Linked DNA regions of Arabidopsis thaliana. Each later gene encodes a partner of the first gene's protein in a complex. Each region holds a gene or a part of one and is shown on either strand. Other genes may lie near its edges.

Region 1 (5,519 bases):
GAGTTCAGATCCGCCGAAGCAATAATATGAACATAGAAATAATCAAAATAAAAAACCATATTTGTATGCATAAATATTGTTTCCCACTTTTTTCGAACCAGATTCAAACTCTTATGAAGTTATCCCACTATGTTTATAGAGTTCGAAAGTAAAGACCATTATAAACATGAAAGAAGATAACCATTTAACTCGTAGCAATGGATCGGAGCACGCTTATTCTTCTTCCTCTTAATTACCTCGAAAAGCCTGGAACCGGAAGTAAGCTTGGGACATATATAGTAGCAACCAGGACCACCAATTGAAGACTCCATAGAAGAGTAACATTCAACTTTCGGGCATTCTTATGTCTCTCCCACAACGTAGATGCTAATTGACCTAGTTACAAAGTGACGAATATATAGCAGAATCTTACCATTGTTCTCAATGAAGTGACTTGGATATATTGGAAACTTGGGAAGTTGAGCTATAGAAACTGTCATTAACCTACTCCAATGCTTCTTCATCAGTATATCTTACCTGCTAAGTGCGGTTCACGTAACAAAGAAAGATGATCTCCACGGAAAATCCCTAAAGAAAGAGAATCTTTCCACTGGATCCCGATGGATGAGTGATGAAGAGACTCGAACAAGGTCTCAAATCTCTCTTTTGAGAAATCGAAACTTTGTATCGAAACGGTACCGTAGATATTATAACCTATCCAATAAGGAGTTCCTCCTATACACACACTTGACAATGGTAGTCGAAAGAACCCATGGAAGGTTTTATCAACAACAACAACCTTCCAACAATCAGATTTGAAATCGTAGATTTCAACACTTAAATTATTAGGACACCGAAACCTAACCATTTTGTAATCATTACAACCACTTGGTGACTCGTTACTAATGTATCCAAGACCATATGCATCGATGGAATGGTCAAACTCAAAGCTATAGCCACATTTGATCCATCTTGCTTCTTTCAACAACGGATTGGAAACTAAAATTTTGGTTCCCATGACCATTAGCAATAGACCATCACAATGAAACATGTTGTGCTCCAATAAATCCGAAGATGAAAGCGGTTTAAAAACCTGAAAATTTAAACTAGGTTTGTTGTTGAAATCCATACCGATACAAGAAATTGTTGAGCACAATGGAGAAACTGTGGCCGGAACGTAATTGAAGACTGTGAATATCGGTTCAAGACCATGCATGTGAGACATGTGCTTGTTGACGAATATCGGTTCTGTGATTAGTGTTTTCCATTGCTTGCATGTCCTCTACCAAATTAGTTTGTAGTATGTCCTTTACCAAATTAGTTTGTAGTATTATATTTGGGTTTGTTATTTTCAATTTAGGGTATATATTTTTATTATTAAAAACTTTTTTGATTCAATTTAATATTAGATTAATGTTTGCTCTCATTTTTATTTGGGGGATTGATACAAATAGTAATAAAAAAAACTTTATTATTTAATTAATTTATAGAGGATTAAAAATTTTATATGCTATTTTGGAAATTTCAAAAAAAAGGTGTCATTTTTTGGAATAATAAAGTTTTTTAGTGTCATTTACGTCAATCCCCTTGTTATATTAATATTGGTGTGAAGCTTTTTGGGAAATATATCTATAATTTCTCATCTTATAAAGTTTTATGCTCAAGTGAGTGTTAGTATGGAAATTTTTAATTCGCAATAGTGTATATTGGTCCGTAATGGTGAATTAGTTAAATATCGATTAATTAGATTTTAGTCTGGTACACAACCATTTATAGACTAAATATCTGACAGTAAATGATTTAGAAACTCATACTAACTTATATAGTTATATATATAGGTGCTTTGGGAATTTTTGAAAATTTTGGGTTTTGGATTTTGACGTTGATTTCGATTGGATTTTTATTTGTTGGAAAGTAAATGAACCTACTAATGACCTATTTTTGGTTCTAAAGTTCCAATAAATAAAATGAAGGCTCACTAACTACTTTAATATAAAGACAGGGAGCAAATGATAATTATCGAATTCTTCACTATTTTATTTGAAAACCCACAAGAGTTTCTTCAATCTAAAGCCAAATTGGGTTAAGTCAATTGTTGTCACTATAGATGTTTAGTTCTACAACTCTGCATCATCTTCCTCGTCCGAATCTTCTTCTTCCCAGGTGGGTTTCTTCGTTTCTGTATCAATCAATATACAGTTTCATTTTCTGTAATCTCAAGTTTCGTATTTAGTAATGCAACTAAATTGATCGTCTCTGTTCATTGTCATTGGGCAATTTCGTTGAGGAATACAATTTGTTTAGAAATTTCTCATCTTTATATTGGAACCAATCCTCTAGAATCTCGAATTTATCTGGGCTGTAATTGAAATTTTATGGGGAATTAAATCAGCTTCTTAATTTTGACCTAAATATTGATGTTCAAGGATTGTTTTTTTTCCTGACCCTTTGATTCAACAGCTCTCGTGTCTGCAGGAAAGTTATTTCGAGAAGAATGAGTACGAATCCTGCAATTGAACCAAAAGTTCGCAAATTTGAATCTGTTGAAGGAGTTGATATTGGTTCAAGAAATAAATCCGATGGTTTTTTTGCTATTCCTCTTTACTTATCAAAGCTTGTGGCTTTATATAACTGTATAAGTTTAAGTAGAATTGGTACTAGTAATGAGAATTTTGTGTTTTCAGGTATCAGATTCCGTCTTGTTTCATATAACATATTAGCTCAGGTAAGAAATAATCAAGCTTTTTAATCTCTCATATGCTTTGTGATATTTTGTAGCTTAATATTTGGACGAATTTTGTAGTTTTAAACGATCTTACGAATTTCTGAGCTTGATTTATAGATACAGACAGTTCTTTTAGCTCTTTCCTTTGTTGAGTTTCTTATCTATTTGAGCTTTATATTTCTTGTAGGTTTATGTGAAGAGTGCACTTCTCCCACACTCTCCACCTGCCTGTCTCAAGTAATTATTTTTCTCTACATTTCTCAGTTTCGAGATCAAATTTACTTATACTAGTCAAGAGTTCTTTCTGTGAGTTGTGTAATCAATGGCCTGGAGTATAGTCAAGATTTGCTTCAGAAAACAACAATGGATTCTATGAATGTTTAGGAACTTAGCTATAAGCAGGCAATATTGTGTTTGGTCTTACCCACGTTAATTATCCATTACCCAATATGTACTTTGGATTTAGCGATATATTAACTTTGTTAAAATATTAGGGAATGGTGCTTCTTAAAGGGTTATGGTTTTGTAGTAAATGTGACTTGGTCTTCCTTTTCTTGTGTTGCAGATGGAAAGCTCGTTCACATGCAATTCTCAGCGTTCTCAAAAATCTCCAGGCTGATTTCTTTTGTCTGCAGGTACTTTATTCTTGTGAAAACTTCTTCTTTTGTGTTTAGGTAGTATTGAGATACCCTTTTCGTATGAAACACAAAATTCATTCTTCTCTTTTGTTCAATCCATTAGACAAGCTCAGGCCTGTAAAAATGTTAGTGTTGTTTGTTCATAGGGCCTTTGAATTGTGTTTAACAAAAGGGTGTCTCCACTTGTTAGTTATATAGTTGCAATGCTCGCAGGAAGTAGATGAGTACGATAGCTTTTACAGAAATAACATGGACTCTCTGGGATATTCTGGGATTTATATTCAGAGAACCGGCCAGAGGAAGCGTGATGGTTGTGCAATCTTCTACAAGCCAAGCTGGTATGATAAAAACATTAAGCCTGACAAGACGTTAACTTAATGCAAAAACATCAATCTGATTGAAACAACACTCTTCTTTTGATTTAGTGCAGAGTTAGTCACAAAGGAACGGATCGAATATAATGATCTTGTGGACTCAATAAAAGCAGATAGTGTTTCCTGCAGCGAACAGAAGATTGAGACATCCAACGAAGGAAAAGGTGATGAGAAAGCGAAAGATAAATTTGTCCTTTTGGAGGAAAAGAAAGCAAATACTTTGTGCTGTTTCTTTATATCTCAACATCATTACTAACTTTTATCTATGTTCTCTTCACATGTTTCCACAAATCTGCCCCAAACAAAAGATTCTCGAAAAGACAGTCGTGACCTTAATGATCCACTAGTGAGACTAAAACGTGATTGCGTTGGAATAATGGCTGCTTTTAGGATCAACAAGCCGTTTCAGCATATCGTTATCGTGGCAAACACACATCTTTACTGGTAAAAATACTTGTCACCGATTGAAGATTATCTTTTACCACCCTTTAAACTTTCATCTCATGTTTACTTATCTCTAGGGACCCTGAATTGGCTGATGTCAAGCTTGCTCAAGCCAAGTATCTACTGTCACGACTAGCTCAGTTCAAAACACTAATATCAGATGAATTTGAGTGCACACCTTCATTGCTACTAGCTGGCGACTTCAATTCAATTCCTGGGGATATGGTTTGATTCAGTTTCTTACATTGAGTTTCCCTAATTGTTCAATCTATTTGCAAAATCAAAAGATTGGGTTTACGGTGGTAAAATCCTGATACTTGTCGTCGTTTTCCAGGTTTATAGTTACCTAGTATCGGGTAATGCTAAACCCACAGAGACCATAGAAGAAGAAGAAGCTCCAGTTCCTCTGTCTAGTGTCTATGAAGTCACAAGAGGAGAGCCTAAGTTCACAAATTGCACTCCTGGCTTCACAAACACACTTGACTACATCTTCATCTCTCCTTCAGACTTCATTAAACCTGTGAGTATCCTTCAACTACCTGAGCCGGATTCTCCAGATGTTGTCGGTTTCTTACCGAATCATCATCACCCGAGTGATCATTTACCTATAGGAGCTGAGTTTGAGATTCGTCGGGAATAGGAAGTTTCGTTCTTTAGAAAGTTTTGTCGCATAACTCCATTGTTTCAGCATTTGAATATGGTTCTTGTAGAAATCATGAAGCAGTGAATCATACACACACAACACAAAGTATTAAAGGACTTGGATCATTTTTGTCTCAATAAACTCGAAATTTTCGTTGTGTGCATTGAATTACTGAGAATATTTGAATTTTCTTGAGAAGAAATTGTTTAATGTGTCTTGTTTATTGCACTCATAAAATAACATAAGAATTGGTTCTATTATTCTGTAGTCAACTAGACAAAAACAATAGAAGATTTAGTGAAATGACATGTTAATATCATATGATGATCTCGTTTCAATTTGTTGAATAAAGTTGCAACAAAATTAGGTCAAGCATTGATCTGTTTTATCTATCAACCACTAAAGTTTGTACTATCGCACCAACTTATAATAATAAATCATAATTTTGAGTACGAACGAATATTCTTTTACAGTCTCACCTTTCACCGATAATTTGAACCATTGTTATTGAATAAAGTCGTACTCTTCAAACTTTTATCCAAAATGACAGTGATGTAATGTTATGTTCCAAAAACATAAGATTTTTTCAAAACGGATAGTGATCATTCCTTTGAATATATAATCACAAACAACCGAACAAAAATATTATATTTTCTATGCTTATTATATGTTCTTATAAATAAATATCATTTAGCATAAGCTTCCCTTGAGAACCT
Region 2 (5,788 bases), on another chromosome or scaffold:
CCCTTTGTCTATTTTTACCTTGAGTGTGCTGCAACATGTTGAGTCTGGTGCTTTAGCTTTGTTAGTGACAAAAGGAAGACAAGAGTAGAGATCAGACATCGCATCCTGACATCCCTTTATATCCTGACTCAATTCTGATCTCACACCAAGGAACATTACTGCTACTGTTATGCATAGAGCCAACATTTGTGGATTTTGATTGTAAGCCATGAATCTAGCCATCAGTTAATGCAGCAGAGTAAGAACTTAATGTGGCTTTTTATAAGACTTGTTTCTTGTTCACATATGTTTCCCTCTCTAGTTATAGGGATACTCGAGAGTTCTAAGTCTGCAAGAAACTTGATTTAAAAGGATTATATAATGAGTACTGGTTAACATGTCTAATTTCTGAATTGAAATTTGAGTTTTGGAATTTGGATCATCTTCAGTTATTGGAGGGGTACATATAAAATATATCAAGTTGTTCACAGTTCGTTTTCACAGTATCTGCAAGATATCTACAAGTGAAGAGACTAGAAAATTGATGGTTAAGCTGTAGGGTTAAGAGTGTAAGGAGGATTGCAACCATAGAAGACACAGATTTTAATATGGAAAAGGTGAAGTCACTATTTTCTTGAAGAATCTAATTGTTTACATTGTTACAATCACAAGCCAGTGAAGACAAAACTTTCTGGCAAAGAGGAAATAACTATAGAAAGAAAAGCCAAGCGAACCAAGCAGTAAATAAAACTGTGATACAGAGTAGAACGCAAGCGAAAAACCCAGCGGGAGAAACCCCAGGGACATGGCCATGCTATCTACTTCATGTAGCTTAACCATATCCATTGGAACCAGTCTTTGGTATCGGGTTATTACAGCTGCAGTATCTCTATAAAATATTGTTTCGTCTGGCCCTGGGCATGCAGCGAAATTCAGCCAAAAGTGCAATGTGATCAGAAGACCATTCTGGAGATGGAAGAGCTGTGTCCTTCCTCAAGGACTCTTCATCCAACAGTTCCAACAACGATTCCACTGTTAGCGTGTCCGCTGAAACAAAACAAAAAGCAAATTGCTTACCAGATGAAAAAGAAATCTGAGATGAAAGCAAACACTGGCGCGTAAAACCCCTGAAAGTAAGCACTTAAGTTAACCTGTGTAAAATATGTAATCAAGTGTGCCTATAAAGTCCCTGGTACAGTTGGTAAACAACGGTTCACTTGATGCAGGATCCAGTCTTCTACGTTGCTGCTCAGTAATAACGTTGCCTCCCATTTTTGCAAATTGTGAGTAGGCACTAACCTGCAATGGTCACAAAGGTATGATGTCTACGCATATGTTGCCATTCTAATTAAAATTGAAGTCTGCCTTTCACGATTCTGTGCATCTGTTTTCCATTTTTGGGAAAGATAATTACCAGTGGCAGCTGATGAGTAAGCTTGCTGTGAGGACGTAAAATTCCAAGAGGATCAACCATCAAATCTGGGTGCAATGGATCGACCTTTCCCACAGCAAGAAGTGTATGAGGAGCACTGAAAATATTAAGAAGGAACTCCAAGTTAATTCAGGTAGAAACCACAATCATAATTTAATATAGAGTTTGACAATTGCTACTTGGGCATAACAAATAGGAAAACCAGCCAGACCTCGCAGGTACTGTGTTGAAATCTCCACACACAAGCATTGGAATATCTGCACTGGCAGCTATTTTCTCCAGTCCCTTCAATAATGTGTGAACCTATTTGGGCAAGAATCATTATGGATCAATAGTGATGTAAGAATCCGAAATCTGAGAGTTCTTTTACAATGAGAAATAAAGACCAACCTGCCACAGCTTTACATCTTTCAATTCATGAGGAACGTTTACATGCGTGTTAGCCTGCACCCATCAAATACATGAAAAGAGAGAAAACATGATCACCTCGAGACCTTTAAAGGAGAAGAGGAAGTGGAAACACATAACTTCAACTCTAGCATCATCTCTGACAATAAAGAACAATATTGAAAAGATGGACAACTTACCACACAAAGTAGCTGGCGCTTCCCAGGATTGTCAGCAGCCTGGCTACCGAATTTTGCTTCCAGTACAACTATTAAAGCAACATTATCCTAAAAAGAAAGACTCTAAATCAGTTTTACATGAAAAAATATCACCAAGAATGTGCGGAAAACAGAAATCATACTATAGAGCATCTCAGAGTACCTTGACCAACCGATTCAAAGCATTTTTCTTCTGGGAAACAGGGATAATAGCCTCAGTCAAAGACTGTGCAGCCTTGTTGAACTCAACCTGGATGAGCAGCCCAATGATTTAGCAAATGGGCCTAATTAGATAGGTAACAGGAGAAAACTAAGACATACCTCATATTTTTTTACATGTGAGAACCTGTCTCTTCTGAAGAAAGTAGCGCACCCATCAATTGTGTTTGTATTACCGATGAAAACCTAAAATTATCCAGTGAATCAATATTTTCTGGTTGGTACATCTTGCAGATAAGTGACCACGAAAAGGTAATGGAAGATCAAGGGGATGCGTTGAAGCAAACCTCATTTGTTTTCCTCTTAAAAAGACCTTGGTATCCGTGTTTATCCAGCTCAGGAAGAAAAAACTCCTCAAAATGATCATTCTGTACCTGCAAGATGAAAAACGAAAATATTGGAGAGGTATTTATCCATTAACTAGCAATTGAAACGTTTCCAAGTCAGTACAACTTGTGCCATAAATATTTAACATACCTCTTGTAGACAAACTATATCTGCACGGTACTTGACAATTTCCCGTAACAAATTCTGTCTACGGTATGTCCAAGCGAGAGCCCATGTGGGGCAGTAACTGTATATGTCGCTGCTAGCATATGTATCAGACAATATATTGTAGGACAGCACAGTGAATGTTCCCATAGACAAAGGCCGCCCATTAGAATCCAGGTGCCCAGTAACATCAGTTCCACTAATAGAGATCAGCCTACGCGGAGAAGGTGATGGAGCTGGGATAACACGGGAAGTCAATATGGTACAAGAAAGGCCCACATTCTGTTTTGTCTCTGCATTGACTACTACACATTCAAACTTCAAAACATGGCAAATATCATCAGCCATTGGTGTGTATGTCTTAGAGCGTCCAACCTCAACAAGTGTTTCTCCTCCGGCGCCGGTCTTTTGAGTTATGGCTGAAGGATAAACTGATGATGACCCATTCGTTAAACTAACACTGGTGCTGAGAACACCAGATCCAGACCCTGAGCTATTCAAACGGGGCAACTCTTCTTCATCATTTCCTTCTGTAGCAGCACTGGCAGCACGCTCATGCAACACACGGTGATGTTGCCACGCATCCGAAAAGCACTTAGTAGAGCAATGGTAGCTTTTGGCAACAGGAACTTTAGACTTTAGACATCCCAGACACTGCAATGTTGCCGTCTCGGATGGATGCACACTACAAATCGCAACTTTCTTATCACTCTGTACTCGAAACCTGCAACAGATGATGCATCTTTTAATACAGAACCAAAAGACAAGACTGGAGACTTATAAACCCTACTTTACAATTAAAGAAATCATTTTTCACACTCAAATTTGCAAACGAACAAAGACTTGAACTGACTAAGAAACACTTAAACAAATCATACCCGGGAATTCACAGAAAAGTCTCAAACTTTCGGTAAAAAAAAGTCGTCCATAACAAACTCGAGCAAAAGCTAGTAAAAGGGAGCAGATTTAAGAGTAAAAGGAAGCCACAGGCATGACTTACCATCTGTACTTTAAGAAGTGACCTTCAAGCGGGGCTGACTCAGGCACATCATCGGTGGAGGGGGTCTTATCAGGCCGCCGGAGAAGTACGTAAGGTGTAAGTTCGCAGCCAACAATAGGAATCTCCGACGGTAGATGCACTCGTATAACGCTAAGCATTGCTTTTACCGTAACTAAGTTAAATTCTGAAAGCAAACCAACACTAACGAAGCCCAAAGGCTGAGATTTTTAAATATATATATTGAGACGAGAGAGCATAAGATATAAAACGGATCCTAATGGATCCGTCATTTACTTGACCCTAAAACTCGACAGCATGGATGAACCCTAATTTTCCCAGAACCCTAATTTTCCCAGAACCCTAGATTTACCCCCAATTTTCTCCAAACCCGAATTTTACAACCTAAAATTTATGAAATTGAAATCCAATGAGTGGGATAGATTTGTTCGCTACGACTAAATTAATTTCCAAAGATGGACAAAGACCAAAGAAAAATACTTGGGTTCTATATTCACTGTTTTAGCCCATTAAAATTTAAAACCTAATAATAATAATAAAAGTTTAATTTAATTATAAAATCTAATTTGCCTCAAAAACAAAATTATATATCGATTTGAGTTTATTTGAAAAAATCATGGTTTAGATTTTACAATTAAACAAGGTTAAATATTGATTTGGGTTTAGAAAATACGATTAGGGTTTAGATTTTATGATTAAACGAGATTAAATATCGGTTTTGGTTTAGAAAGTACGATTAAGGTTTAGATTTTATGATTAAACGGGTTAAATATTGGTTTAGATTTATTAACAGGTTTAGATTTAACAATTAAACAAGGTTAAATGTCGGTTTGGGTTTAGAAAATACGATTAGGGTTTAGTTTTTTTACGACTAAATGAGTTTAAATGGCGGTTTGGATTTACAAAGAAGAATTAGGGTTTAGATTTTGTAATTAAACGAAATTATATATCGGTTTGGATTATAATTATAGCTTCAATTTATTATGTAATTTAAATAGGATTTGACATGACATATTTTTATTAGTTAATGCAAAAGGAGGTGAACAAAGAGGTTCATCCCCCTAGGAATGAACGCAAGTCTCGTTCAAGACCAAATATGGACTCGTATTTTTATTTTATTTTATTTTCCAAAGGGAAACAAAAAGTCTTTAATACTCTTTTTTCTATATACACATATATTCACCTATTTATAATAAAAAAGATTGAAACTTACGGAAAATATAATACAGTACAAACTATATATGTCAACTAAACTAAATAACACTTAATTAAATGATGTATATAGATTGCATAACCAAGTATATAATATTATATAGTTAACATTATAAATATAAAATTTCATGTTAAATAACCAATTAACTCTAACGTCAACCGGTGTTAACCAACAAAAATATTCAAAAATAAATTTTTACTTTATTTTTAATATTAAAAATCTAGTTTTACTAGTTATTCTATAATCAAAAAACAATTTTTACATCTACTATAAAAATATTTTGCATATATATTTAATACATTGATTCTTAAAATATTTAGCTTTTTTTAATTTCAAAACTAAACTAAAAATGAAAAAAATGATTAAAATTTTTAAAACAAAAAAAAAACTGAAATTAAAACCAGAAAAATCTTATTAGAAACATATGAGTGAAAGAATCTTTTTTTTGTATTATCAATTAAAATATATAAACTTCTTTATTCATTAGAAAATAAATCATTACAGAACCAAATACACATGACTATATAAGTTTCATAAGAAAGTAATATGAAAAACAATTGAGTATATAACTTTTTAGTCTAAATTTTGCACGGTAATTTTTAAATTCAAAGTAAATGTTTTTTACGAATAATATAAGAAAAAACTAACTATTGATTAAAAATATTTAGCAATTAAAAATTTAACTTCTTAAGAAACTAACTATTATTATTATTATTATGAATAGTTCATATCTTAAAAAAATATTTATTCTCTTAGTTTAGTTTTGAAATTGAAAAAATAAAGTAAATATTATATGAATTAATGCATTATATATATATACAAAATATATT

The links. Proteins that work in one complex are often made in the same cells at the same time.
Region 2: AT1G31500 (region 1) and AT3G58560 share a complex: the UniProt entries of both Arabidopsis thaliana proteins name them as parts of the CCR4-NOT complex.

What each region holds. Positions count from the first base shown.
Region 1 is NC_003070.9:11,273,102-11,278,620, reverse strand, and holds AT1G31500 (DNAse I-like superfamily protein), read left to right. Parts: upstream 1-1,992; 5' UTR 1,993-2,086; coding exon 2,087-2,142; exon of another isoform or gene 2,143-2,146; intron 2,147-2,439; coding exon 2,440-2,704; intron 2,705-2,891; coding exon 2,892-2,941; intron 2,942-3,269; coding exon 3,270-3,339; intron 3,340-3,555; coding exon 3,556-3,680; intron 3,681-3,767; coding exon 3,768-3,880; intron 3,881-4,024; coding exon 4,025-4,160; intron 4,161-4,237; coding exon 4,238-4,385; coding exon of another isoform or gene 4,386-4,391; exon of another isoform or gene 4,392-4,494; coding exon 4,495-4,800; 3' UTR 4,801-5,019; downstream 5,020-5,519. Other genes in the region: AT1G31510 (F-box associated ubiquitination effector family protein), read right to left, coding at 159-340, 413-472, 517-1,204. UniProt on the Arabidopsis thaliana protein: Acts as a catalytic component of the CCR4-NOT core complex, which in the nucleus seems to be a general transcription factor, and in the cytoplasm the major mRNA deadenylase involved in mRNA turnover.
Region 2 is NC_003074.8:21,650,012-21,655,799, forward strand, and holds AT3G58560 (DNAse I-like superfamily protein), read right to left. Parts: upstream 4,190-5,788; 5' UTR 3,886-4,189; coding exon 3,728-3,885; intron 3,452-3,727; coding exon 2,713-3,451; intron 2,610-2,712; coding exon 2,523-2,609; intron 2,422-2,522; coding exon 2,338-2,421; intron 2,267-2,337; coding exon 2,180-2,266; intron 2,086-2,179; coding exon 1,999-2,085; intron 1,856-1,998; coding exon 1,802-1,855; intron 1,715-1,801; coding exon 1,623-1,714; intron 1,509-1,622; coding exon 1,394-1,508; intron 1,279-1,393; coding exon 1,131-1,278; intron 1,027-1,130; coding exon 869-1,026; 3' UTR 554-868; downstream 1-553. Other genes in the region: AT3G58550 (Bifunctional inhibitor/lipid-transfer protein/seed storage 2S albumin superfamily protein), read right to left, coding at 1-222. UniProt on the Arabidopsis thaliana protein: Acts as a catalytic component of the CCR4-NOT core complex, which in the nucleus seems to be a general transcription factor, and in the cytoplasm the major mRNA deadenylase involved in mRNA turnover.